Linked DNA regions of Mytilus edulis. Each later gene encodes a partner of the first gene's protein in a complex. Links are inferred from orthologs where the notes say so. Each region holds a gene or a part of one and is shown on either strand. Other genes may lie near its edges. The genes, in order: histone acetyltransferase KAT5-like, vacuolar protein sorting-associated protein 72 homolog, ruvB-like 1 and mortality factor 4-like protein 1.

Region 1 (7,458 bases):
CAATTGTATTGAAAAGAGAAAATCGAGTGCACCTTTTCTTATGTTAGGGTGTGTTTGAGATGAATATTTTGTCTTGAAAATGTACAAAACAAGAGTATTTGATACATCATCTCGATTCAGACTCTATCATTTTATATAGCAAAGCTACAGGTTGACTTTATAACATAAAAAAAATCACAGTACTAAAAGATGAAATATAGGGGTCAAGTGAAATACCTATCCAATGGATCACAAAATCAGAGTAGGTGTGTTCGAATAGCTATTTTACTAAAAGTGCTTGACAACAGTCTTTAAGTTGGATCTCTGAAAAAAAAATTGTCTTCCGTTTCTACGATTGTGAAAATGAACAGATAATTTCGACGAAGTAGAAGCCTGTCTGTATTGTATATTTACAGGTAAGGAAACATGTGAGAATATGTGTCATGTGATGTTTTAAAATTTAGTGTCCTTAACCTCCAACATAACGTCCAATAAAATTTAAGTATGATGTATACAAGCTGAAGCCCCGCCTATCTTAATTACCATGCTTGAGCAAACATTGATACAAACAAAGCAAGCAAGCCAAACAAAGATTTGTCTTGCTAGCATTAATGTAAAAGCTGTAATGAAGAACCAACTACTCATCATGAAGTTCCTGCTTCACATACTTTATGAATTGTGTCGTAGTTCAGAAATAAGATGTGTGTCTATGGCTGAGGGTTGTAACTTGTAATGGGGTACCTTCATGATCAATAACGGTAAAAATTCTTGACAAATGACCTCAAGGATGTATTCTTCTGACTTTTCAGTCTCGTTCAGTCTCGTTGAAATCTCGTTCTTGAATTATTTCCAAAACATGAGATACAAGTGGAAAATATCAATGAATTTTAAAAATATTAATATCAAACATAACTCTGTGAAAAAAGTGTGTATTTACAATGAATGGTTTTTGAGTAATCCAGTTTTCAAATTTTACAACCAATCAAGTCAGTATTTTGTAGCCAAAATTTTGAGAAAATGGGTTAGGGATACAAAAAATGCTATTACAAGAATCATGTACATCCCATATCATTTTGGTGTTTTCAAATTTCTGAAATATGTATTTTTTAATCATTTATAACAAAAAAGTTGAAATAATATGCATTTTGTTCTTAAAACTGAGAAACATCACAAAAATACAAAAAAGACAGAAATTTAACACAAAAAAGCGTCAAAATATGATAAAACTTTCTTATATTAACACCTACCTATAGTTTTTCAAGTAAAATTTATTCAGATTGGTCCACTTCATCTTTAAAGAAAGTATGAAAAAAAGTTTAATTTTGGAACTGTGATTTTTTTCACGATAATAGCCCAAAAATAGATAAAAAACAATGAAAAATGGGAAAATCATCAAAATAAGGCATTTTCAAAGGGCCGTAGCAAAAAAAGAAGTGCACCATCATATGATTTTTTCTTCACCAATTATTTTGTTAGTCATATAAACCCAAAGATCAGGTTAAGAAAAAAAGTTTAATTCTAGACATTTTTTACTCCTTAGACAATGTCAGAGGTGTACATCCTTAACTGTAATTTTTGGTGAAAATTTTGTATGATGATAAAATGTACACTTAACTTTAAGATGATAAAGACTAATTTTGACGAAATTGTAACGGTTTATTTCTTCCTCCGTGATATTTTATCCTGAGGATAATTTGACCCGGTCAATTTTTTCCAGACATGGAATTTCACAGGTTTGATTTTTCCTTAGGAGTGAAAATATATCTGTGTTATGCGGATAGTATGAACCGGTAAATATTTTCCGTTCTATATTTCACAGAACCTTGTGAAATAGAATCCCGCTGACTACTATGTAAGTTACTCGCAATCAATATATACCTGACAATAATTACAAATATATCACAAAGGTAAACAAAATTTGCATATTTCATCAATCAAAGGGAGGTAATTTTGACCAATTTAAATGGTTTTTATAAATTATATTGTGGAAACCCTTTTTTAACAATGCAGACTTTTTGTAAATGACATATATTTTAGGTAGGCAAATCCAGTGTCGGATCATGGGAGGATTCTGGGGGTTGAAACCCAGGGTATTTTTGGACGATTAATGCATAGTTTAATATATTAGATAATTCCCGCGGCACGCAGTAAAGCGTGAATTTATTGTCTTCTCGGTAAGGTATTTCCGAGGCGTAGGAATTTTTGGCGCCAAAAATTGTAGTGGTAAATAGATAGTTATATGAGTATCATTTCTAGCCTTGCGTTCGTACTGTGTACATCAAATTTTTTCATATAAGCATAAAGAATGCTCAATTTGACAATTGTTAATTGTTAATGGTCTGTTATATATAGTTTATATATATATGGTATGGCTATATAGACGTAATCGGATTTGGATTGTATGTTGTCTTATAAATTTTTTATAGCCGTAGTCTTCGGACTAAAACTCCCTTTTATTAAGTTAGATTGAGCATTTTTTGGTACATGAACATTTATGTTATATGAGTGCGGTCCAACACTTAGTTTCGCTTGGCATTGACAAAAGGACGCAGGTTTCCAAAAGGTTTTTCCTGATCGGCCACGAAACAGTACTTTGTGTGTTTTGAATATTGATAATTTGGAAGATGATGGCAAATAGTATTTTGTATATATGTTATGTTGTTATAATATTGCTGTATTGTAATAAAGCGGCAGCTCAGAAAAGATATACGCAGCGAGCTAGTCAACAAAATATACGCAGCGAGCTAGTCAACAAACTTAAGTTTGTAGTTGAGTTATTTTTCTTAGATGCTAAGGTACATGAGTATAGAGAAGACCATCGTATTCTGATCCTTCCATTGCTACTCACTGTTTACAGTAGTAATGACCTTTAATTTTATATTAGTCCTGAAATCTGAAAACAACTCACTTTTACCTGAATTTCACTTATCTTATTTTATGTATATTAAATTAATCATGATGATATTTCACAATAAAGATCTTTAAAATTACTTCTGGTTTTCTTTCATATGTTTCATGATAATTATCTTTTTCATAAGAAATATTTTTACGTCTTGAATATTTCAGGATATTATTTTCAATGATAATCTGTGAAATATTTTCGCTTTAAAATTCACATTTTTTTATCCAATTTAGCATTATATTCAAATATACTTTTGTTATATCACAGTATTTGTCAATAATTAAGTTTTTTAATAACTATTCATTTTTTTAACTACCCGGATATAATTTCACGGCAAAGGAAAAAATTTCCCAGGGAAATATTTTCCTCCGGATAAAAAAACAACAACAACTACTGTGACATTTTTTCCTCGGGATCAAATTTCACCCGGATATAATTTTGCTTTACAAAATCACGTTAATTTTTTTACAAAAATGAAGGTAACAATAATTATTTGAAACCTCTGACGAATCACACTGAATCACAATAAGGGTATTTTGACAAACGGCGGTAAAAATCTAAACACAATTTGATGCTAACTGTATCCAAAAATTACTGTTTGAAGTGTGACGGGATTGCTTCCCTTAGAAAACTTAGTAGATACTTAGTCAGCCGTAAGCAGTTGAGCTAGGGAAGTACTTCTTGAGCTCAGTCGGTTAACACGCTGGCTAGTAACACAGAGGTCCAGGGTTTGAGTCCTGGTGGAGACAAGCAATTTTGTAATGAAATTCATGCTCTCCTGTTACATTGGCGCCCAACAATAAAAACCCACGGTTAGAAGAAATACCTAGTCAGGTAAAAAATAAATATAAAAAAGATGAAGATATCATCATTATAGAGTATAATGACTCTTGAGGTGTGGGAAGTGTGACGGGATTGCTTCCCTTAGAAAACTTAGTAGATACTTAGTCAGCCGTAAGTGGTTGAGCTAGGGAACTACTTCTTTAGCTCAGTCGGTTAACACGATGGCTAGTAACACGTCCTGGGTTTGAATCCAGGTGGAGACGAGCAATTTTGTAATAAAATTTATGCTCTAGGGTTACAGAAGCCTGACGTTAAAGGGCATTACTACCCTCATGGCTATACTATGATCTATGTAAGGATTTGTAAAGTAAGATCTGACTATACAAATCCTTGGTCTATGCAACTTTCAACTTTAATGCAAGCTTATAAAAACTGATTTCATTTTAAAGATTTTAGGCAAAATTTAACCTGTTTTCAAAATCCAAAGTTTCAGCCGGTTCTTCCTTCACACCCACAGCTGAAGCCATAACTTGGTCTTTTATTTATGTACGAAAATCAAAAATAATAAGTCGAAAGGCATGTGGACAAAGTGAAAGTACAAACAGGAAGTTGTGTGTAATTCTAGACTCGCACGCAATAATTCTAACTTAAACTTGTTTTAACTTTTAATAAAATGAAAATTTGTCAATAAAAACAATCGAATGAAGGTATAAATATTTATTTCATTATTACAATTATTACTTTTATTTTTTTTAAAGGAAGCCATGCGTAAAAATTGTTTTGTGCATTCAATGCAGAGCTACAATATGACCGTGATGACGGAAGTGCAGGTCCCTTATATTTTTTCAATTTTGAAGCCTTTAACCCTTATTTTGACCTATTTTGTCATGTCAAGTTATATCTTTGAAATTATTTTTATTTATATTTTTCAGACTGAAATAGTAGAAGGGTGTAGAGTGCCAGTTTTATTGAAGAATGGCGATGGATGGCGTAAGTTATGCTAAGGGAGACAATCAAATCATGTAAACACACAATGGGGTCATAATATGGAACATTCAAATGTGTGCAAATATTTAATGCATTACAGTTATTAAAATATTTATGCTTTGTCTGTTTAAAAAATATAGTTTTGAAACCAGATCCTTCCGTAATGACATGGAAATGATTCTGATTTATGTGACCATTTTTTTCTCAGATTATCCATCATTCTAGTAAAGCTGTATACACCTCATTGCTAATCCAGGCTGACCCGAGAATCTGTCCAGCTTTAACTATTGACGTTATATAACAATCACTTTTCCATTGTGGTATCAGATATTTTGTATTAAGACATCAAAAGAATATGAGGCAGGCATTACCTGTGAAACGGACGAAATCTGTATGCATATTTTTTTTTGTCGTAACGTTTCAGATTTTGGTTCTGATGTTTTTTATGTTATGACGTCATATTCAATGTTAAAAAAGAAACAAAGAAACGCTATCATCAAATTCACCTGACAACTAGACCGGTAAAGAAAGTAGATTTCTGAGCAAATGCAGGAATTTAAAAAAGTCTGAAAATAATTTTGAGCTCATTAGTAGAATGAAAATTTTGGTAAATTTCCTGATTTTTTAAAATTTTGATTTAATTTATTTTATCACATATTACTGGAACCTGTGTGATGTCCAGGATTGAGGAATGGCAGACAAATAGCGATAAGGTGTATAGCAGGGTCTGTATGGGTCCTTGAATCCTGGAAAAGTCATGGATTTTTATTTTTTGGGGGAAAAGGCCTTTAAAAGTCATGGAAAGCTATATTTTAGTGAACAGTCGTGGAAAGTTATTATTGTTTGAACTGTAAACTTTATTAGGTGTCTATAAATATTTTTCATAGTTTTTGTCAAAACTGTTTCCTCAATAGAGCTACAAACAATGTCCCAGTTTGATAGCCAGTCTTGGTAAATGTAAAATGAGGATTTCAAAATTCGCTTCTTCATAATTTTTGGTAAAACTACATGTATATGACTGAAACTGGTTCCCTGTATGTCAAAAATTGTTGCAGTTTGCTTCATTCAATAACATTATCAGTATAAGATACCAGTTGTCGAATATTTTTAAAAATGTCTAGTCAATGATCAGTTGATTCAAGAGAAAAATGCCTGGTTACTGCCATTTTCAGTTTAAATGGTTGGAAAACCCAGAGAGGCAAAGTACAAACAATGGCTGGTGTAAAAAAACAACGGAGAATCTGCATTGAAAAGCCACTGTAAGAGCTCAAAACACATCCAACACTCAACTTAACTGAAAAGTTTCAACATTTTACTACATTATTCAATTGATTCAAATATTTCAAAACTTGAATAAACACTTATACTGATGTGTAGTTCATCCTCTTTCAAAGAATTTATATATTACCCTTTGGTTTCCTGTTTTTTTGGGTATGGAATTTTCATAAAACATCCTTGAAAAGTCATGGAAAAGTCATGGAAAAATGGAACAGAAGAGGCGTATGAACCCTGGTATAGATGATATGATGACTTGCCCTAATTATAGCTGATTTTATGATGACAAGTTATTTTTGTGAAAATCAATAAAATATCGTTCAAACTAAGTCACTTCAAATTTGTTATAATCACATTGATTTCATCACAGAAGGGTACAGAATGCAAATGAGGTATTAATACAAATATAATATAATACAAAAATGGTGCTGATACAATCCCAGTATTTGCTTATTTCACTAACCATTATTAAACACTTCAAATTAAATAAATCACTCTTATATTGGTAATTTTTTAGGACAACTTATATAATTGCTTCACGATAATGACGTCACATATTTCATTGAAAAAGTATGCATAGTACGAATTTATATTATGTCCTACGAAAACATGATCTGACTTTAATGCCCCATGACAATTTTATTTACATCTGCATGTATATTTGTGCACCATTTCTAAAAACCATAAAAAATTCTGCAAAAATTTGACTTCCTAAAAAAAACAATTGAAATTGTTGCAAGACATCAGAAAATTATTTAAAGATAGATATAGGGTCATTCGTGGAAAATTCAGCTGAACACTAAAAAGGGTCATTAGGTCTATATGTAACCATTTTGAGCTCTGTTTGTTATGTTCACCTTATAGGAAATTGAAAAATGAGTTTTCTAATATCTATCCTTAAATAATTTTTTCCTTCATGTAGAATCCTATTGTTTATTTTGGCTTTATTTGTCCATAAGGGAGAAATCTAACAGTAGTATAAAAACATTTTGGTGTTGCATTGAACTTTATAAAGATTTTTACATATTTTATAGACTTTGCTGAGATACTTGGAAAGAAAGAAGTCAATGGAAAGCACATGTTCTATATTCATTATGAAGATTGTAAGTATATTTGCAGTACACGGAAGGTTATTCAATTAAAAGTCAGTCTTGATGGTGATCATGAGTGATTCACTTTGGCATATGTTTGTACATGTGCTACATATGACATGGTCGTAAATTTGAGTACATAACTGAACACCAGCAACAACAGAACAATGAGGTTTTACTACTGTAAAAGTAGAAATTTTCGTTAAGGATTTAATTCGTTTATTTCTTGAAATAATATATCAGCGAAATTAAAAACCCCGCAAAATTTAAACTTCATATAATATAACACTTCCATTTAATGGAAACCATGAAATTTTGACCCCACGAAAATGAATGTTTCTACAGTAATTACCTTTTGGGAATTGTCTTTTCTTATCGTATCTAACTGTCTCAGTTGCATTGTCATAGTGTCCCTTGACTGAAGGAGGTTGTTATTATTTG
Region 2 (6,893 bases), on another chromosome or scaffold:
ATTTCACAGTGAAATTCACTATGTACTTGGTACCTGTTATTAATTAAATGAATAGAAAATATTATAACAAATATTATTGGATGCCGAATTGACGTCAAATAGGTGCCGATTTGACTAGATGCCAATTTATTCAGGTGCCGACTTGACTTGTACGTTTCAATTCCTCTGTGATCGTTTGCGGTATTTTCTTGAGAAAACATATTTTCCATCATCAAAGAGAAAAAGAAACTGCTTGAAAATGATTCTGGAACGCTTCATGATTGTTTCAATAAGTTTAATTCACTCAAAAAACAATTTTAAAACTTGCGATGTTTAAACAGGAAGTTTCAAAAGCACGTGTAAAAGAAGAAATTAACCGGTGAGAGTGGAAATCCTTACATAACAGATATCACTATAGTACGACTTTGAAAGCAAAACAGTTCCATCCTTTTGTAAAACAGTCTTTAATATACCTATCACATTAATGTTTGAAGGGGCTTAAGCTTATTCAAACCATATAAGTCGGTATGAAACACCAAAACGGTATGATCAATAACCGATTACGTTTTGTAGTTTACAAATTCTAAACTGGTTCCTGTCAAACTACAACACTTTGTTCGAGTGTAGTGAAATACAAGCAGAAACCAGTTAGTTTGTAAACTGGTTCCTGGCTGATTACTACACAATGATCATGCATAATGATAACACAAGCAGATTCCAGTTTGTATGAAAAATAGTAAATACGAAACCAAGCGCGGTAGGCAGAGAAATGTAATGAAGTTCAGGTCGCCAGTAATGGAACAATGACTGCGTCATTTTCCAAAAACTATTCTTTTTTGACAATGTTTGAATTCTTATTCCTTCTAAGAAGAATTATACATTTGGTTCACAGTAAAAGTTAATACTAGTTGAAAATATTCCACTTACATGACTTAATCGATTGGTGTTTAATGCCACTTTCAGCACTAATGTGCTATTTCCTGGCTGTCAGTTTTTATTGGTAGAGGAAGCCAAATAGTACATTAAAAATATATTAATGTAGTTAGTATAGTTGAAAATATTCCCTTCAACTGATTGATAGGTGTTTAACACTACTTTCAGTACTATTCAGTATTGTGCTATTTAATGGCCATAATTTTTTTTTGGTAGAGGAAGGCAGTTTGCATGGAGAGAACCTTAGAATGACCTTTGAAAGGAAAACTGACAATCCTAGTCAATTAAGATTGAAGTCAAATGCATCTGCCATATGCAGGATTTGAGCTCACATCATTGTGTTAACAGTCTAGTGATCCAGTAGTTTCATAACTTACATGTAGACCACTAGGCCTCAGAGACTTTTACAGTTAGGCGTCAAACGGTCATTCTCTGCATCAGATATATACATTTATAGCATCAAATTAGTTAAAATATTACTATGATTCATCAAAACATACTTCTTATGATTCCTCAGAGGTGTCAAATGATTATCTTTACTGTTATATTTTTTGAAAAAAATTTAACATGATTCGTCATATTCAGTCAACTTATTTTCATCATCTACATGTAAAGGAAAATGTACATTTTATCGTCATGAACCAAAAATTAATGTTAACGTCATTTGGCAAGAATTTTTACTATTATTCCACATGAAGGTACCCCTATTGCATTACAACCATTAGCTTCCTTTTTATAAAGGAACCAATCAAAATGCGTTGTAAAAATAGATGCATTGACACTTGAGTTGACATATGCAATTTGTCTGCCATTACGTAAAATCACACAGGTTCCGGTAAACTTTGACATCTAAATTCAAAACATTGTTTTACACTAGTAATGTTGGGGCTCTTTATAGCTTGTTGTTGGGTATGAGCCAAGGCTCCGTGTTGAAGGCCGTACATTGACCTATAACGGTTTACTTTTATAAATTGTTATTTGGATGGAGAGTTGTCTCATTGGCACTCACACCACATCTTCCTACATTGTATATCTATATTCTACGCCACAATAAAGATGATTGTTGCTTGAGGTCAAAGGTGATTCTGAGTAGATCTAAGGTCATTGGGAGGCAAAGTACAGCTAAATACCAAAAGTGTACATACTTTTATAGATATAAAATCATAACAAGTTGTACAATTGTATCATTACGACATTAGCTAAATGTAAAGAACCAAAATAAGTCAAATAGTATCACTACAGAGTCTTTTTTTTTTATCTCCATTTGCCAATTGTATATTTTTAAACAATTAAAAAAAGCACACCTAAAGAGCGGCACAATTTTGCCATGCATATACATCTGTACATATGCTAAACAAGAATGTGTCCCCAGTACACGGATGCCCCATCTGCATTATCATTTTCTATGTTCAGTGGACCGTGAAAATGGGGGAAAACCTCTAATTTGGCATTAAAATTAGAAAGATCATATCATAGGGAACATTTGTACTAAGTTTCAAGTTGATTGGACTTCAACTTCATAAAAAAACTACCTCGACCAAAAACTTTAACGTGAAGTGGGACGAACGGACGGACGGACGAATGGACGGACGAACGAACGAAGGCACTGACCAAAAAACATAATAAAAGAATAGCATCCTTACGTATGAGCCCCACAAACGATATTACAAGTATCTTACAGGTATATATCATTACAATTACACCTTATATAGATGCTAAATTTTGATTGGTTGATAGCCAGTGTTTTTTTGCTTATTCTATAAATATTTTCCTCATTCCAAACGAATTTGCCTGTTTTACGAAAAATCGACCGTACGGGTGTGATTAGTTAACCCCACATTGGCAGAAACAAGTGCCTGTGTAAAATCTGAAAATTTTGCTGTATTTTCAAAAACGCGAATTTGTGTGTAGATTGTGCAGGCTATTGAAGAACCCTGCACAGAACTTACATGTTTTGAAGAGGTCTGTTACAAAATATGTTTACCAACTCTGATAGGATTTGCATAAATATATACCGAATGTAATGTTAGAATCAGTTCTTTTTTGTTTTATCGAATTCTTTTTCAACAGGAAACGAGGCTTTCGCTGAAATATTAAAGCCAATCACGGCACAAACCCGAAATTACGTAGATTTTCACATTTACAAAAATGAAGTTCTCGGAGACTCATCCCACCTTTTAAAAATGTATATGCCCTAATATTTCTTATATAAAATAAATGCATATGTAATGAATTATTGCGCATTTGCGACAAGTGCGTAGTTAATTTTAATTCTATTAATTGTCATTAAACATTTAAAATGTTTGACGGTGGCGATAAGCTTATTCAGGTACACCGATTTGACTTAACAATTTATAACAATGTAAAACATAATGACATTACATACTACTTGACCCCCTGTTAACCCAGACTTTTATTTGCAGATTACAGTATAATGTGCAGATATAGAATCTAAAGGTCTGTGTTAAACTCTAAGATTTCAGGAGTCTTGAGTTGACTAAAACTAAACGGTAAACCGTGTTATTTCGGGAATTTTTAGATATTGTGAAAAAGGTCATATGGCAATACATTGATGTTTTTTTCAACAAATGATTTGATACCGGGAAATTGGTGGTCTTACTTTAATTTAAACCATGTCAGCTATCTAGTTTTATGCACAGGCGCTTGGATATATGATACTGTAGCGATTTTAGTTTGACAGTATAATTATTATTATGTAAGATGTCTTTATTTTAAATACATAAGGGTTAAATTACATTTCTCAGTATAGCGCAATGCCCAGTATTTTATTTATCTGAACGGTATTTATAATTCATTTAAATTCACCACCCGGTATCTTAAGAACCGCCCGGTACCCCATCTTTGGAACCGTCGGGGTACCGTCCGGTAACCCCATCTTTAAAACTGTCAGGGTACCGCCCGGTAGCCAATCTTAAGAACTGTTGAGGTACCGCCCGGTATCTACAGAACCGCCCGGTACCCTATCTTTGGAACCGTCGGGATACCGCCTGTAAATATGTATATAAGGGGATGCGAGAGAGATCAGAGTGTAATAGAAAGAGAATAGAGAGATTTGAGATTGTTAGTTAGAAGTGTTGAGAGTAATATTGTGTTAGTGAATTAGGATGATTGTTCAACTGTTTTATTATGTCAAACTGATATACATTTAACAGATTACATAGTGATTTCAATTAAAACTTTGTGTTGTGGTTTGTTTTCTTTGTGCCATTTGAATATGGATTTCACGTAATTTACGCTACCAAAATAACACATCGACAAACACGAATCCATACAAAAACGACAACGCTACAATACAGATATTTTTTTTTAATTTTGTTGTTGATTAAGATGTTCAATTTTCTATATTTATAATACATATCTATCACTTCTGTGCATATCTCACCTACAGAAAAATACCTAATTTTGCAATCCATACTAAGAAAAATTGGATATGGTTTTATATACAAGAAGGCAGTTTCGTATTTTTTGATATCAAGTTCAATTCTCCATGCAGAAACGACCACTTTTTTCTGTGTCCAGTAGCATCGTATATTCTTAAAATATTTTCTCGCATAATGCCTGGACATCGGTGGACATGCAATATTTCACAGTGTGACACGTTTACAAATGAAAATCAACACTCAGACTAGTCATTAAGTAGGACAATAAATGAACAAAAGACAAACCCGGGACACAGAAGTACAAACAATAGACCATCAACTCTGAAAACCAAAAGTAAAATAGAAACATGGATTACGAAAAATATGCAGGGGCGACGGCAGAGAGTGAAGAGAATTTGCTTCTTGCAAGACACTTTCAGTGAAAACAATTTGATATGAAGACAATCTTTTGTTTTAGTTTTTTTTTTTTTTTTTTTAAATTTAAAACATGAGGCATTTGCCTCATTTGCCTCAATGTAGTTACGGCCCTGATATTATAACCTTTTACGAGAGTCTGTGGTTTCTCTCTATGCCAACAGCGTTCTTGTCACGAACATTCATCTAACATGTGCATTTTTATATTTAATAAGGATTTGGAGTATCATTCGAGGAATAGAAAGGCCATGTACATGCACTGCTTGAATATTCTCAATAGACGAGTACTGCTACCAAGTCTTTAGAGTATAATTATTATCAATCGGATTCCTTAGTATATCTGATAGCACCATTGATTGTAACATTTGAATTTCAGTGCCCTATAGTGGTACAGCACTTAGTCAAAAAATGAAAAACAAAGTGGAAGTTTGGAAGTTTATTATGATTCTTGCGGGTAACTTTTTAAAACGTTAAATAGTAAACATACCGTTTAAAGTTCAAACACATCAAACGAATTTAAAACAACATATTCCTGATTTGGTACCGGCATGGTTTAATTCTTGTTTTTATAGCTAGCTAAACCTCTCACTAGCTGAAACCATTGTGTCTTATGACGAGCCATTGAAATGACACAATGTACCTCTGATGTCAGTGACCCTAATGGTTTAACAGGAGACGAGTAAATAACGATCATAATTCAATAAAGTAAGCAAAAAGTAAAATAACAAAAATATTGAACTCAGAGGAAATTCACAATGGAAAGCCCCTAATCAAATAGTTAAATCAAAAGCTCAAACACAAAACAAAAATGGATAACAACTGTCATATTCCTTATGTCTGATTGTTTTCATAACGCATCGTTGTCAATATAATGGAATTTGATGCTACTGTCGTACAAGTTACAGGTTAAGCTAGCTATAAAACCCGGTCCAATCCACCTTTTTCTACATAATAAAGTACATATACCAAGTCAGAAATATGACAGTTGTTATCCATTCATTTGATGTGGTTGAGCTTTTGATTTTGCCATTTAATTAGGGACTTTCCGTTTTGAAGTTTCCTCGCATCTTTTCTTTTATAGCTTGCTAAACCTCTCACTTGTATGACAGTCGCATCAAATTCCATTATATTGGCAACGATGAGTGAATACAAAAACACACACAACAGATAAAATTTTCAAAAATAAGGGTACAGCAGTCAACATTTTGTTATAATCTTAATCACTATGAAATGAGACAAATGTGTCAACAAAGAAACTCAAAGGCATACAGACAAACATTCACCATAGCACAACAACACAATAACGGGATGTATAAGTACCGAGCAACACCTAATGGACATTATAAATAAAGACTAAAATTAGTAAAAAAAATATTTAGAAAGACAAAGAAAACAATACTATTAAATGTTATTAAGGATGTACTTAGGAGAAGTTATGAAATTTGTGTCAAATTCTTGTACTCCTTTGTATTTTTCATTCGATAGAAGGTAAAATATTTTACCCGATAACACCCATTTACTTTCCATATAAGACTTTAATAGCTCATAAAAATTTATTTACCGAAATTTTTAGATTTCATTTCTTTTGATTTGAGACCCAAATATTACCAATGAAAAGATAAGGTAAAAGTCTGAGTCAGCCTTTTCCTGCACTTTTAAAAAATAAATAAAATATCTTGAAAAGGAGCCCCATTACCAACAAATATTTTAGCTTTTTTTAAAATTCTAATGCTCTTCTAACTTATAGTATCAATTCTAAATTCTTAATTTTTTTAATTACGTTTTAAAACACGAAGTATTTTTTGTAGAAAAAGACGAGACGTTCTTTAACATACCCCTGATTCATCACATTTCTGCTCAGACACTCGTATCGTTTACAAAGTCTGAGTAGTAGCTTCATGCTCCTGAACACAGAATAAGTTGAGAAATGTATATCCCGTATGAAAGCGAAGTTGGTAAATTGCTACTAAGGTGGGAGAAATTCATAATTTGAAATTAAAATCATCTCGTTTGTCATAGATTCTGGTACTGAGATGACCGCTTATGTCAAGTTTGAGATATAAGTCTAAAAATGAGGCAGAGGCAGCCAAGAGTCATAGACGAAAACATCCCTTAATTTGATCGTTACATCCAAGGATTTAACGTTACCACAATGATAAAACACTG
Region 3 (7,814 bases), on another chromosome or scaffold:
CTGATATTCTCTGTCTAATATTTCATCTTTAGCATTTACACTTTTTAAGATTTCTCGTCTGATATTGACCACTTCCGAATTAGAGGTTTTATCTGGTAAATTATCTGCCTTCTCCAGCTCTATCCTCTGCCTTTCAAGTTCTACTTGTACTTCTTTGGCCTGCTTCAGTAAATTTGATTCATTATCTCTTGTTCTGTTGAAGTAAGATCATATTATAAACAATTATAATACTTAATCAAATTTTATAAAAAAATATTGTAGTTTCCATAAAAACAATTCACATTAAATATGTCAGAAATAAAATATAAGTCCTTTAGGGTTTGTTTGAAATGGGTTTTTTTTATTATTAAGTTAATATCAATATTTTTTTTCTTCAAAACTTGTCAAGACAAAACTGTCAGAAAAAATAATTATCCTTTTCTGGAAAATGGTCTTGCTATACATTCCATCTTTCTTTGGGCTGTTCTAAAATGTTCATGTAGTTGGTGGAGTAGATTTGAGACACTTAAAATTATCAAATATGGGTGGTTACATTTTTCTTAGAATTTTTAATTTTGAGTGGTCAGGGTCTAAAATAACCTACCCCTATGTGTTTGATTCTGGAACAGCCCTTAACTCAAGTTAGGAGACAATTGAAGTAGATAATAATTATATAATTATAAAAAAAATTCCACAGACTTTACAAAAGCCAATTTTTCTATTTTTGAAGTAACTTATTCAAAACATTGACATATCTTCGAAAAATAAAAATAAAAGTACTCACTTTTTCAGAGTTTCATGTAAATCTGTGTACTTTGCTTTCAGATGTGCCAGTCTTGTTCCAGTTAATTTACCATCTTGAAACAACTAGAAATAAAGAATATAAAATACAATGTACTGCTTTATAATGATAAGGAAATTATACTGTAAATGCAGTACACTAACCAAATCTACACTTACCTAAGGACCACCAATTTATACACCTTGTATAACACAAACATGATTAGTCATTTTAGTCTTTAAGGTTTTTTATAGGTTTTTTTGGTATCCTGTAACAAGTAAAAATACATGGACGATTTTGTTCTCTTGTAATTGTAATGAAATTGTAAAACTCTAATTTAAAGATTCTAACCTCGTCAAGACATTGGAATGCAGGACTAGCTGAAACCTCCACCTGACTTTCCTCTTGTTGTACCACTCTAGGAGGAAGTGCAGTCAATGGCTGTGTGTATTTCTGTGGTTCCTCTTCTGTCTCATCTTGGGAATCCTCTGTGGGCTCTGGACTACTCATATCTGTGTAAAAGACAATGAATCTATCAAAATCAAAATTTCTATTGCATTTATATGGTGTTGAATCTCCCTTAAATGCAATATTGAATATATTTGTAATTGACCTTAAACCTGAGGTTATCTTAAGTCTGTCTGACATAAGATGCAATTCTAGATAATTTAATGCATGCTGCCATTTACATGTAAGTGGTATGGTTGACTTCTAAATATGTACATTGTACATGCAAATCTGTCACAAGTGTTTCCAGAGAAGAAGATATACAAGTTAACTATGGTTTACAGATGAATTGACCCTATAATCATGATATGAAAAATTTAAATTCTAGTACAGCTCACACGACCCTTTTGTCAAGGAGAGCTCAAAAAGTTATGGTTTTAATATATAGTTAGAAAGTAAGATTAATACAATGTACTGTGCAAGATTTTTTCTCTCTTCAAAAAGCAGATTCAATCATGATCAAGATTACAGTAATTTGAGTTAGACAAACATATTGAAGTGGGTCCTACCTGCTGCCTGTGAGATGTAATCAGCGACAATCTCCTCAACGACAATTTTATATCCAAAAATCTTAGTGTACCTATCGACGGACCTAGAGCGTTTTATAAGGGGAGGATGGGTAATAACGTACTCCTATTACTAAACCTTAGCGGAATGATCCTGGTACATGTATCTTATTTACATCTATGGTAGCAATTGAATGGCTCTGGTAACAGTATATATCTCTTATGAACAATACTATGACAATAAACAAATAATATAATAATATGCAATTTATTCCCTTACTAAAGCAATATTCTCTTATATGGTAAAAGTATGTGTGTCGAGTTACTACTATCTTTACTGCTTTATAAAGTGTGTTGTCCTATAAGGCCTAAATACTTCGTAAAACCTATTCAGAGCTAATAATTCCAATATAGTCTTCAATTTGTTTTAAAACACCTTGTATTATATAATTTCCAAAAGTGAATTCTGTATCTTCATTTATATAAAGTATATATAGAAATCTGCTTTACCAGTATATGGGTTGTTGGAAACATGACACACTTATGTGTGTTGACACCGTGTCGCAGTGTTGATTTGTACTGAATCAGTATAATTTGCTTAAAGTAAATTAAGGAAAGTTATTGACAATGATAAATTGTAAATAATATTGAAATATTATTTTAACCCTTTTTAATATATTTATGATCCTATATGCTAACCTTAAAACAAGAATATGTAAGCAGCTTTAGTTATTTGAAAGTCGTAGGAATGGCGCCCAGACGAAACGCTTTCGAGACGCGACGGCCATACTTCCATGACGGCCCTAGGATGTGTCGGCCATACCGTCATATCGTCCATGGGACATATCGGCCACACATTGTGAGACGTATCGTCCACACTTTTAAATTTTTTTTTATTGAGTTTATTACATAAAATATAATACAAAAAATAAGTATTTGTTCATAATAATAACATAAATATGATTGTGTAGTACTTTTTTTCTGTACAGAAGATTTTATTTATTCTTGTAAGAGTTATCTTTGCTTGATCATCATCGCTCGTGTTTACAACTTGTTGCGGCCATATTATGTAAGTATATTGATTATTTCTTCATTGTCAGTTGTAAACATTTTCTGAAGAATCATTTTTATTGTAATGTGATATAAAGGCATCATATTTTATATGAATTTTAAACTGTAGGAATGTTGACTGTCGCTGTCAATGACGATATATACATACAAGCACATGTTACAGATCTTTTTATTATATCTGTAAAAAATATATATTATTCTAAACTATACAAATCTTCTCAATCTCAGTCTTGGTGAAATTAAAAACAGGACTCAGTGTAAAGGTTAACTCTAAGGAAGGCAATTCATCAAGTTCGAGTTATATTTGTCATGATCATCAGACACATTGTTTAATAATTCTGATTTTTTTTTCTTTCTTATAGTTTAGAGTCATTCTATTTGCTGAACATCTTTCCAAGACAGAGACTACTGCAGAATTTTCCAATAACATAAGAAATTACCCGTAAAATCTGACAGGAATGTGCACCCGATTGGCTAATTACATGATAAAAGATGGCCAGTTTCATTTTTATCATACTGAATGTTCTTTTTGCTTTGTTCATTGTGTTGAATTGTGTTGAAAACAATTTGTTGACAATTTAAATGTTCTCATTTTTGTGCATTTGTTGATGGATAATTGTATTATGGGCAATCATACCAATATACTCTAGTATAAGAAACAAAAAGATGATATTTTTTTTTAATATATTTTATTTATTCATTCAGTCATACAGATAAACAAATAAACACCAAACATATAAACCTTCTTCATACATACAACATACACAAACCATTCATATATACATTTCGTTCATACATGTAGGACATTCATCTAATATACATTTTTTAAATAAACAATCTCTTACGTTTTCTCTCATATGCTCTTGTCACTCATGCATTTATTCCACTGCATACACATGTCTCCCAATATTTAAACATTTATATTCACAAAAGCACTAAAACATACCAAAATGCACTATATTACGATCATGAAGTCACTACAATTAACACTTAATCAGACTCGTAGTCGGAATCTTCAGAGTCGGACTCTGGGAGGGTCTCTGGTTGAGGAACAGGTGGTGCATGCAGATGGCCTACCGAACGGAGAAAGTCGGATGTTCGGATACTGTCTTCCTCGTACTGGTCCCACAGTGAAGTTAGACGGCCTTGAAGCTGCTTGTATGTGTCTCGTTGATAGCGGCTGAGTTGCTGTTCACTCACAAGCTGCTGTGTGATGGACACGGTCTTGGCTTCCTGTTGGAAGGCTGGCACAATCTTGTAGAAATGGAGGTGGTTGTGGGCAAAAAAAAACCATGGACGATACGTCTTTACAAAGTATGGCCGTTTTTGTACTATGGCCGTTTCATCTTTTCGGGGTATGGCCGTTTCATCCTATGGCCGTCATGGTAGTATGGCCGTTACGTCTTGCATCGGACGAAACAAGACTCAGAACCCGAGTGCTTAGTTGTCGCAAATTCATATGCAAGTACGACACACTAAGACACACTGTGACACACATTTTGTATAAGAATATAGTTGAATTGAGGTTCACTTGTGTGAGTTCTGACATGCAACCTGCACTTTCCCATAGTTCAAATTGTGTCGTAATTTGTCAACAATTTGTCTTAAACGTTAATTTTTGATGCATGACATATAATTCTATTTTCTATCCCCTTTAATTTTAAAAAATGCTGAAAAGATTTATAAAGGATTGGAGTAAGGATATGAGAAGACCTATACAGCTATAGGACGCAAATTCTGGTTGTTGTCTGTTGACATCACTTATCGTTTAGTAATTAATTGTTCTTTTACCTTTTGATTTATTGAAGAAACTACCTCTTTGCTATTCCCAATAGCGTGCAAATGCACGGCTATCTGTTAAAGCTAATAATTACTGTAAATAATTTAGTGTCCAATTTGCTTGTAAATAAATTTGTTTCTATGGGCTTTACGCATGCGCCATAATAGGTTTACATTAAGTCGTAAAATATTTTCTTTTAAAACCGAGATTAAGCAGTTATTCTTTAAGCATCATCTGATTATAAATAAGTCGTTATAGATATATTTTAGAGGTAATTTATTAATATATGCAAAATCATAGAATTTTAGTGTCGTAAAGTATACGAAAAAAATCTGTGTGATTTTAACGTTTTAGAAAAGGAGATTTAAGTTGTAGACAATAAACTTGTTTTTCACGATTGTAGCGTGCCGGTTCGTGTAAAGTTTTGTTTATAGTTGCACTGCGTAGTTATAACTCTGACAAAGAACAAAGATGAAGATCGAAGAAGTGAAGAGTACCACGAAAACTCAACGAATTGCTACACACAGTCACATTAAAGGATTAGGTTTGGATGAAAATGGCTATGCAATTCAGAATGCAGCTGGTTTAGTCGGACAAGAACTTGCTCGAGAGGTATAAATTTCTAGAAAGTTCTAAACATTGTTTTCTGCTGATTAATTATAAGAATACCCAAATTTGAATTTTGAGAACAAAAACATAACACTTGAAAAACCAGTGAAATTCATCTAAATCTTTATTTTTATGCTATAGCCTTAGGTTGTGCTGGACATACACCTTATCACAATGTATTTAGAGATCTGTTCCGCTTGAACTTTTACAGGATTTTTTGTGATGTCCAGTAAAGGCAGACAAACTGTGATAAGGTGTATTGTCGATTTGTAACTAGAACTAACCTAGTAACTAGGTTGTTATACAGAACAGAACAGAACAGAACATATTTTATTTCCAATTAAGGGCCCACAAGGGGCATACAGAGCATACATGAATAAGGCAAAAGAATATTGATTTGCATAGATACATAGATACAAACAATTTTTTACATACAGTTACAATACAATTACTAACTCATATTCACTTTAATAAATTTACCAACAGCATTAAGGACCTGATTGTCTTCACAGTTTAATAAATAAATAAATTTATGCTGATTATCAAGTATAGAAAAATTCGGAATTCTTTGGCAAACAAAGTCAAAGAGAGCATCTCTATCCGATTTAAAATTTTCACAGTTAGTTAAAAAATGGATTTCATCTTCAACACAGCCAGAGGAGCATTTTTTGCAAATTCTTTCATTTCGTGGAATATTTGAAAAACGACCAACTTCAATTTGAAGCTTATGAGCAGAAATACGTAATTTGCATATAGATCTTCTAAAATCAAAGTTCTTAATTAAAGAGAGATAATTTTCATAACCAAAATTCTGCTTAAATTTCACATAATTAAACAGTTTTCCATCAGAAGCTTTATTTTGGCTAGCATACCAATTGCTAATATATTTAGTGTGAATTAATTTACTAGATATGTTCAAAAATTTATATTGTCCGAAATGTTTTACTTCTTGTTTAATTTCAAAAACTTCTAACACTTTTTTAACAAATGAGAACCAAGAAGTTATGTTAGATTTGTGAAGCTCTTGGCTGCATTTATAAGCATCTTTCAATAGACTGAATTCAGTTGTAAGATTTTATATGTATTGTACATGTATGAATATGAGACAGGTTTAAGACAGTCAGTAATATGAGGCAGGTATAACCTAAATATGGGCCGTTTGCTCAAAATGAAATTGTAATAAGATACAATGTTGGTATAAATATTATATCAAGCACATACAGTCAAACATTGGTAAAGCTGACCCTGAATTAACTGGTTTCCCCTCTATTCCAACTAAGAATTAAAGTACGATTTCCCCCCTTCAAAGTTTTTGTTTTTAATAGTCTACAATTTACAATGACAAATACTTTTACATGGAAAATATCTGATGACACAAGTCAATATCTCCCTTTCAAAATGGTAGCCTGTATAAACCACCACTGTCCAAACCAGCCCTTGCATTATCCCAAATCTGGCTGTTTTATACAGGTTTTACTCTAAAGTACAATTGTTTTTAGTACAATCAGTTTATCTCAGTCATATATGAAACCTCAAATTAAAAAAAATGATGTATATGACATTATGTTTTTTATAACTAAATGGAAAGTTTTCTTTATAAAACTTATGTACACATATACTTTTCTCTGAAGAAAATTCTTTTAAATCTTAGAAGAAGTTTACTTTTTTTTAATTGCTTGCTTCCAGGAATCAATATGCTGACATATTTTCCGTATGCAAGTGACCTTAGCACGACCCTTCTCTTAAAAATCAGGTGAACGCAATACGCATGTATCTGTCATGGAAATAAACTATTATCTGATGGTACTTGTTATACACGTGCTCAATATCCATGCTTCTTTGTTTACTATAAGGTGACAATCAAAACATGACAAACAATTAGCTGCCATATTTTCACATCATAACAGACAGAGAGAAAAAAGAAATCGACAATTATACGATATGTTTGCGTGAAAACCTGATAAAATCAATCACAGAAAACTAAGTTGATGATATACACATGAATTGGTTCAAGAATTGGATAAACATAATTTTTCACTAGTCACTCGTTTCATATGTCTTTAAAAAGTACATTATTTTAAATAAATCTTTTACTGTATATCTATATCTCTATTATGGAGAAGACGGAACTAAGTTGAAAAACTTGTGTCTAATCCATTTGTTTTGAACAATAAAATATGTTTAAACTATATACTTCCAGAGACAGAAATAGTGAATTATTATATATATATATATAATTTTATATATAGAGTCTATAAGAATCTACCAACCAGTTAACTTAAGGTGGCTCGGGACTATTCGACTGCGCATAATTTCACGCATGAATTACAAAAGTATTTGTCGTAAATTCGATCTATTTTTTTTAAATATTTTGATTGATTAGAAATGTTAAATCATTGTAGTTTTGTGAATAATAGAATATTTTCGTTATAATCCGTATTTGTTAGAGGGTCAAAAGTAAAATCACAAAAATACTGAACTTAGAGGAAGATCAATTGGGAAAGTCCATAATCACATGGCAAAATCAAATAACAAAACGCATCAAAAACGAATGGACAAGAACTGTCATATTCCTGACTTG
Region 4 (7,821 bases), on another chromosome or scaffold:
TCTGCATTTCTTTTATATTAACCTGTATGCTCAAGTGTTGAGTGTTCTAGAGAGATGTCCAGGTTGACACATATTCGCTTAGACTCATCATGATGGACTACTGTTAGATTTGTTACAGTCAGTCCTGTCTACGTAATTCTTTATATATAATAAAATTGAGAATGGAAATGGGGAATGTGCCAAAGAGACAACAACCAGACCATTGAAAAAAAACAACAGCAGAAGGTCACCAACAGGTCTTCAATGTAGCTAGTCCAAATAATTATGACGTCTTGAAAGGCTATTATAATTTTTTTCTTTGACGCCTTAGTCGAAGTAATTTTAAAGGCGTCAAAGAAAAAAAATTATAATAGCTTTTCAAGACGTCATAATTATTTGGACTACAATGTAGCGAGAAATTCCCGCACCTAGAGGCGTCCTTCAGCTGGCCCCTAAACAAATATATACTAGTTCAGTGATAATGAACGCCATACTAATTTCCAAATTGTACACAAGAAACTAAAATTAAAATAATACAAGACTATAAACAAAGGCCAGAGGCTCTTGACTTGGGACAGGCGCAAAAATGCGGATGGGTTAAACATGTTTGTGAGATCTCAACCCCCCCCTTTATACCTCTAGCCAATGTAGAAAAGTAAACGCATAACAAATACGCACATTAAAATTCAGTTCAAGAGAAGTCCGAGTCTGATGTCAGAAGATGTAACCAAAGAAAATAAACAAAATGACAATAATACATAAATAACAACAGACTACTAGCAGTTAACTGACATGCCAGCTCCAGACTTCAATTAAACTGAGGCTGAAAGATTATGATTTCATCATATGAACATCAGGCACAATCCTTCCCGTTAGGGGTTTAGTATCATACCATCATAACATATATGAGAAGAACATAACCCGTGTCATGCCAACAACTGGTTTTTTAATAAATGTGTTTAGTTCCGATGCAAAGACCCTATATAAGTGAATCAATATTAACGCCAACATATGCAATCTTTAATGACCTGACAACAGTATCGTAACTATATCCCTTCTTAATAAGTCTATTCAAAGGTTTTGTTAGTTTTTGAGGTGAATACTGACACCTTTGTGCTTTATAAAGAATATTTCCATAAAAAATTGGATGTGAAATACCTGAACGTATAAGAAGTCTGCATGTTGAGCTATATTTACGAATGATGTCCATATACCAATGATAAAATTACTATAGTAAATGTTTTGACTAGTTTGTGATATCGAAAACCCGGGTGTAATAATTTTTCAGTAATACATACATTTCTCTCGTTAAAATCTAAAACATTGTTACATACACGAGCGAATCGTACAAGTTGAGATATATAAACACCGTAAGATGGTGACAAGGGAACGTCACCATCTAAAAATGGATAATTAACGATAGGAAATGAAAAATCATCTCTTTTATCATAAATTTTAGTATTCAGCTTTCCGTTAGTGATATAAATATCAAGATAGAGGAAAGGGCAGTGGTCATTGTTAATATTAGCTTTATTTAAAGTAAGTTCAACAGGATAAATTTCTTTAATATACATACTGAAGTCGTCATTATTGAGAGCCTAAATATCTAAAAGTATTATTAAATCTGTTTATAAGATGTTGTTTCGATGGGTCTTTGCTTATTTTTGTCATGAATTGTAACTCATAGCAATACAAAAACAGGTCCGCAATAAGTGGTGCACAGTTAGTCCCCATTGGAATACCGATAATCTGACGGTATACGGAATCCCAAAAGCGAACAAAAATGTTATCTAGTAAAAATTCAAGGGCATATATAGTATCAAAGCATGTCCAATTGACATAGTTTTTTTTGTTTATTGCTACTAAAAAAATACCTAAAAGAGTTTGAACATATATATTCACATTCTGACTTTTTAAATGCCCATTTAATTAGGTGTGTGAATTTTTCTTAATGAGAATGTGAGGCAATGTGTATACAGGGTAGAAAAATCAAAACTTTGAACAGATTCAAAATCACCAATATAAGCATGCAATTTATCAAGTACTTCCAACGAGTTCTTGACACTCCAAAAGTAATTAATTCCACTATTTTCGAAGGCCTTATTTGAACAATTTATTATCAGGGTTTTAATTGTACCAAGTGTGCTGGTAAGAAGAATAGACAATTTAGTAGTGGAACAATGGGTCAACATTGCTGCAAGTTTTGTTAATCTAAAATCGATTTTACATATATCCATATAGGTAAATCAATTTTTCCCAAATTAAGTTAAGAAGGGGGGTAAGGGGGTTAGCGAAAAAACTATGTGAATTAAGTTTTTTATCCTACATTGAACTTTTGATGTCGTCCCTTACAGATGTCGTTTTCTGAAAATGCTATATAGAAAACTTTTTAAATATATGAGTTGCTACTTTTATAGTGATCATGATTTATATAGCAGCATGTTTGGTCCGCTTTTTTCTATATAAACTTGCCATATTTTCTTCGAGCCAACCTAGCCAGGACAGTATATTGTCAGTTATCCTCTTCCCAGGAGATTACAACACAAAACCCCCAATATGTAGAGTTTTCATCTTGATAAACACGTATGAATATACTACATTTAATGTTCGTAATTGTAGTTGTAGATTTTAACAACCTTTATTTAAGGGCATATTACTGAGCTACGAGATAAAGAAAAAATAAAAAATGATTTTTTTTTTGTTCAGTGATTACAGTTAAAATAAAAAGCATGCGAACCAAGAGTTTGTAAATGCCTTGCTTGCCAACTTTGTTTGGTTGTTTGCTCAGGCATTGTAATTAAGATTGACACCTGAATTCAAAGGAGAGGCGGAGAAACAGTTTGTTTACTATATAAAAAAATAGTTGGTTGGACAATGGATATTACATTGGAAACAATTTTGATATTAATTGACCAATAAAACCTTTGTGTATAGTAAACAGACTGTTATATATACTCCACCTGGCTACCCATTGAATTTAGGTGTTAATCTTAATTACAACTAGAACACACCCGTGATATCGCGGGTCCGTGACTGAATTAAAGTATATAACTATGCGCAAGCCTTATCTTTGTATTAGTACTGGCATCTGATAAAGTCATGCCGATTATAAGATACACAATTTTCTCTGCTTTCAAATCTTTCTGTTTGAACCCGTCGAACTGGAACTTATTAATTATGGGTAATATTAATTATTTGGAAAACAAAAGGTCCTGGTATGGAGTATTTTTTAATCTTCAGCATTGTCCTATATTAGTTATAAATAAAGTTGAACTCTTTGATTCGCTGTTTTACGTCATGCCCGCTAACAAATTGAAACTTATTTTTAGTCCAGATTTTTAGTATTCGTATTGTTATCTTAGAAAGTCTTACGGATTAAAATACTACAATAGGTAACAATTTGACAATTTAGTAGTGTCAACCCTGTGATTATGACCCGTGTATAAAGCATATTAATCCTGAATACACCGTTTGGTGGTGCGCCTGTCAGATGCGTAACGTACAGATAAGGTAATAGGTAACATTTGATTATACTATTGGTATCGGTATCGGAATCGACCCGGAACTTCCTAATTATTGGCAATATTAATTACTTGGAAAACAAAAGGGCCTGGAGTGGCGTAATTTTTAAACTACACATTTGTACTTTATTAGTTGTATATAAAGTTGAATTCTTTGATTCGTCGTTTTTACGTGATGACGGCTGACAAATTGGACCTCGTAATTTTAGTATTATAGATGTCTGAGCAAAAAAAAAAAAAGTTGGCAAGCAAGGCATTTATATTCTTGGTTTGCATGCTCTATTATTTTAACTGTAATGAAAGTGAAATAGCGAGTGATAATTCGCTTTTAGAATTGCAGCCAATTTGGTTCAATTTGGTCAGGCAAAGAAAAGTAGGACTGGATCATATCGCTGATTGATTATTCACGTACAATTTAAGTGATTAATTCGACATCATTGAATCCGTAATTACCGGGTATGTGATCTTTAATCAAACATCTCTGCTAAAGATTGGCAACACTTGTATTCTGAGCTATTGCAAAGGAATAGAATATTGTTAACCATTTTGTTAACATTGAGTGTTAAATAAGGATGAACCATTATACTGACTAATTCAAACCACAAAAAAAACCTCCTCTTATTCAAGTAAAGCGGTGAATGGCATACTTTTTAATCTCCGTATGAAATATAACAGACCGCTAGAAAATCCAATTGCACATGGTCGCTATCTATTTATATTCCTATCAGGTTTTATAACGGCCGTCGGCAGTCTTCGGAGATCATCTCTGTGGTTAATTAGACGACATCTAAAATATGTTGAAACATATCATTGTATCCATGTTTAACCAATGAGAACACTGGGAAAATTTGCAGAATATTTTAAAAGGAGAAAAATACAAAATTGAATAAAAAAAAAGGGAAGATCAAATGAAGAATAGAGAATAATTTGGCGCTAAAATATAAAGAAAATAGACTATGGTCAAAATAAAGCAAGAATAGAGAAAATGTACATAATGACTTAAAGAATACAGATATCAAAGGTCTCAAGACTCTCTTGTATACTTTCTCGTGAAATTGTGTTCAAAGATCTTCAAAGTTGCCGGATATATTTTTTTTAATTTTTAATTGCATTTTGACCAAAACAATTTTTGGTCAAAATGCAATTAAAAATTAAAAAAAATAAATGTTTTAAACTGTAGACCATTCTGTTCAACTTTTTAAATCCGTTTCAATTTTAAATCTATTTTGAGCTATTTTTGAGAAATAACTTAGAATACTGTATCAATTTTTATTTCCGTCTTTTTTTACTTCCGTGTTTTAGACAGTCTCAAATTATTTCACACACAAATTGATGACGTAAACACATGTGCAAACATTTTCCCTAAACTATCTAAGCTTGGATAAACGAAATGCCGCCTAAATATAAGTTCCAAGAAGGTAGTTGATGCAATAATTAAGTAATTATATGAATCTGACATTTATAAATAGACATGCATCCTGTCTTTTCGCTGCGATAGATTTTTGTTTTGTTACAATTCCAAAAATTATACAAACACAACAAATTTATCTCGCTTACACCAAAAAGTCACAGGCACTTGTTTCTATCTATGTGCGGTTTACTTTCCACACCCGTACGAAAAATAACATTGCCAGAAACAAGTGCCTGTGCAAACAATCCAGAAAAATTACCCCCCTTTTCCCCCTTTTACATGTCCTCTAGAATATTTATCTGTTTAGCTATAAATGACTTATTCCAGGAAGATTTTACAAGTGAAAGATGTGGAAGGAACATATATTTTAAAATCCATTTCGACATTTGTAAATTGTGCATTTCACTATTTTAGTATTTGTCTGCTATTACTGGACTTTTCAAAGGTTCCCTTATAATTTTGGCATTATAATAGAAAGTATCTGACACCACAAAGAAAAAATGATTGTTGTATGACATCAATAGTTCAACAGGCACAGGTCTTGGGTTAATCATGTTAATTGGTGCAACAATTAAAGGTGTATTGTACTGTTTTCATTATTCCATTTGGAAATCAGAGATGCACCTTTGCTTGAAACCATATAGGACTTGCACTTGGCTGGGTCTGTCAATAGAACAGGAACAGAGTTATTTGTAATCGAAACCATAAGATTTTATTCTACCGGTTTTGACCCATCCACATTCTTTGTGTGTCTGACCGAAGTCAGGAGCCTTTAGTTCAGCTGTTGTCTTTGTTTTATGTCTGTCATACTTGTTTTTATGCCTCATCTACAAAAGTAGAGGGGCATCATGTTTTTTGGTCTGTGCTTTCGTTCATTGTCCGTCTGTCCCGCTTAAGTTAAAGTTTCTGGTCAAGGTAGTTTTTGATGAAGTTAAGGTTCATCATAACAAGTGGACAAATGTGGCTGTATTTTCACCTCAAAAACTACTCTGTGTACAGACTTACCTGTGCTGTTTGGAAAGTTTTAAGGCCTAGCATCCACTAGATATATAAAAGTTAAATTCATTTTATGTTTAAGAAAGATAACATCTTTCTTGGTTTTTGATGGGCATTTTTTTTCCTTTCTGCAGAAGGTGTAAAAATAAACAAACATCTGAATTACTTTGATACTGTCCACTCACTGACTCAGATAAACTCTTTAACTCACCTGTAGTTGTGAAGATACCTCTTGTCCATGTCAATTAAGGACAATCAAAACAATACAAACCGGTTTTTTACCTGAGGGAGCATCTCAAAGTTGTACCACTTTGAACTTAGTTAATTTTCACACCTTATGCATGAAGGAAAAAAATGCCCATCAAAATCCAAAAGAGATTTTATCTTTCTGCAACATAAAATGCATTTATCTAGTGGATGCTAGGCATTAAAACTTTTCCAACTTCACAGGTAAGTCTGTACTAAGAGTAGTTTTTGGCATGTAAATACAGCCATGTTCGTCTGTTTGTCATGATGAACCTTAAAGTCCAAAAGTCCATTCAACTTGAAACTTAGTACACAAAAAAAAAAAAACAACTTAGTACACAAGCTCACTAAAATATGATCTTTCTTATTTTAATGCCAAATTAGAGTTTTGATCCCAATTTCAGGGTCCACTGAACATAGAAAAAGAGAGTGTGAGTTGGGCATCTTTGTACATGTAGTTCTATCATGACTATGGACACTGTCTTGTTTTCCATTTTTTCAAATTGTTTCTTAAAGAGTCAGAATCTTTTGTAGTTATTTTTATACATAGTAGCCACTTAATGGATCATTAATTTAATATTGAACATGCATGTTGATGATTTGGTGAAATATTAGTAAACATGAAAGTAACAAATATAATATTTTTTACAGGAGAGAAAGTTCTTTGCTTCCATGGACCTTTATTATATGAAGCAAAGGTATGTATCTGTATTTCTCTAATTTTTGTGCTATATTCACATTTCATGTTCGTTGTGAGAAAAGTATTTCTTCTCTGCAAATGATTGGTCGAAATTTAATTGTGAAGTCAAATTTTCTTGGTTTCTTCTGAATTTTCTATTGTGACAACACGAAAAAAGGCAACCATGCTTAATGATGTCACATATAAAGAACACAGTTTTCTGCAAATATTTGAAAAAGGAACAAGTTTAAGCCTCCTGTTAATATTAGAATTTATCAGTTTTTTTTTTTTTTTAAGGTTTACATATTTTATTGAAATCTTTACATTTGTTAGTTTATCAGTTTTTATCAGTTTTGAGGGGAGAAATATCGTAACATACTTGTTACAACAGTGGAATCTATATTTCTCTTCTTATGCTATTTAGTTATGATGCACAAACTAATGTGTATACATTTGCTGTAAGATTTCTGTGATTGGCAGCACATTCAGAGTAATGTGTTCTTATTATTTTAGTATTGGTTCTACACTCTCCCCATGTCACAGAATATAAGTTCTGTCATAACATTTATTCCAAAGATAATTTATTATGTAACAAAAGTTCCAATTGGAATTATTGTTATGTGATATTTATTCAATCAACATAATAAAATGACCGATGCCTCGGAATTTTTATCACATAAAATATATTCCAATAGGAAGTTTTATTACATAATAAATTATCTTTGGAATAAGTATTATGGTGGAATTTTTATCTTATGACTGGTATAACATTTTGACTTTTATCATTTTGACATATCACTCATTAAAATGAAAAAAATGATAAAATCTTATGTTATATTTATTCCGATTGGAAAAAATATTATGTAATATATATTCCGATTAGAAAAAATATTATGTAATATATATTCCGTACGGAAAAAATATTATATAATATCTTTTCCGACCAAAAAATATTACTATATTTTATCCATAACTAATGCCGGATTGGA

The links.
Region 2: histone acetyltransferase KAT5-like (region 1) and vacuolar protein sorting-associated protein 72 homolog share a complex: the UniProt entries of both Homo sapiens proteins name them as parts of the nuA4 histone acetyltransferase complex. The link is inferred for Mytilus edulis from reciprocal best matches to the Homo sapiens genes KAT5 and VPS72.
Region 3: histone acetyltransferase KAT5-like (region 1) and ruvB-like 1 share a complex: the UniProt entries of both Homo sapiens proteins name them as parts of the SWR1-like complex. The link is inferred for Mytilus edulis from reciprocal best matches to the Homo sapiens genes KAT5 and RUVBL1.
Region 4: histone acetyltransferase KAT5-like (region 1) and mortality factor 4-like protein 1 share a complex: the UniProt entries of both Homo sapiens proteins name them as parts of the nuA4 histone acetyltransferase complex. The link is inferred for Mytilus edulis from reciprocal best matches to the Homo sapiens genes KAT5 and MORF4L1.

What each region holds. Positions count from the first base shown.
Region 1 is NC_092346.1:17,925,663-17,933,120, reverse strand, and holds the start of histone acetyltransferase KAT5-like, read left to right. Parts: upstream 1-4,454; 5' UTR 4,455-4,455; coding exon 4,456-4,494; intron 4,495-4,596; coding exon 4,597-4,654; intron 4,655-6,960; coding exon 6,961-7,029; intron 7,030-7,458. Other genes in the region: DNA-directed RNA polymerase III subunit RPC6-like, read right to left, coding at 4,133-4,191. UniProt on the Homo sapiens protein: Catalytic subunit of the NuA4 histone acetyltransferase complex, a multiprotein complex involved in transcriptional activation of select genes principally by acetylation of nucleosomal histones H2A and H4.
Region 2 is NC_092344.1:122,279,727-122,286,619, reverse strand, and holds the start of vacuolar protein sorting-associated protein 72 homolog, read right to left. Parts: upstream 3,022-6,893; 5' UTR 2,928-3,021; exon of another isoform or gene 2,862-2,927; intron 1-2,861. UniProt on the Homo sapiens protein: Deposition-and-exchange histone chaperone specific for H2AZ1, specifically chaperones H2AZ1 and deposits it into nucleosomes.
Region 3 is NC_092344.1:87,608,047-87,615,860, reverse strand, and holds the start of ruvB-like 1, read left to right. Parts: upstream 1-4,805; 5' UTR 4,806-5,095; coding exon 5,096-5,236; intron 5,237-7,814. Other genes in the region: coiled-coil domain-containing protein 146-like, read right to left, coding at 1-193, 764-846, 1,112-1,270. UniProt on the Homo sapiens protein: Possesses single-stranded DNA-stimulated ATPase and ATP-dependent DNA helicase (3' to 5') activity; hexamerization is thought to be critical for ATP hydrolysis and adjacent subunits in the ring-like structure contribute to the ATPase activity.
Region 4 is NC_092347.1:28,692,875-28,700,695, forward strand, and holds the start of mortality factor 4-like protein 1, read left to right. Parts: upstream 1-4,803; 5' UTR 4,804-4,890; coding exon 4,891-4,918; intron 4,919-6,804; coding exon 6,805-6,851; intron 6,852-7,821. UniProt on the Homo sapiens protein: Component of the NuA4 histone acetyltransferase (HAT) complex which is involved in transcriptional activation of select genes principally by acetylation of nucleosomal histones H4 and H2A.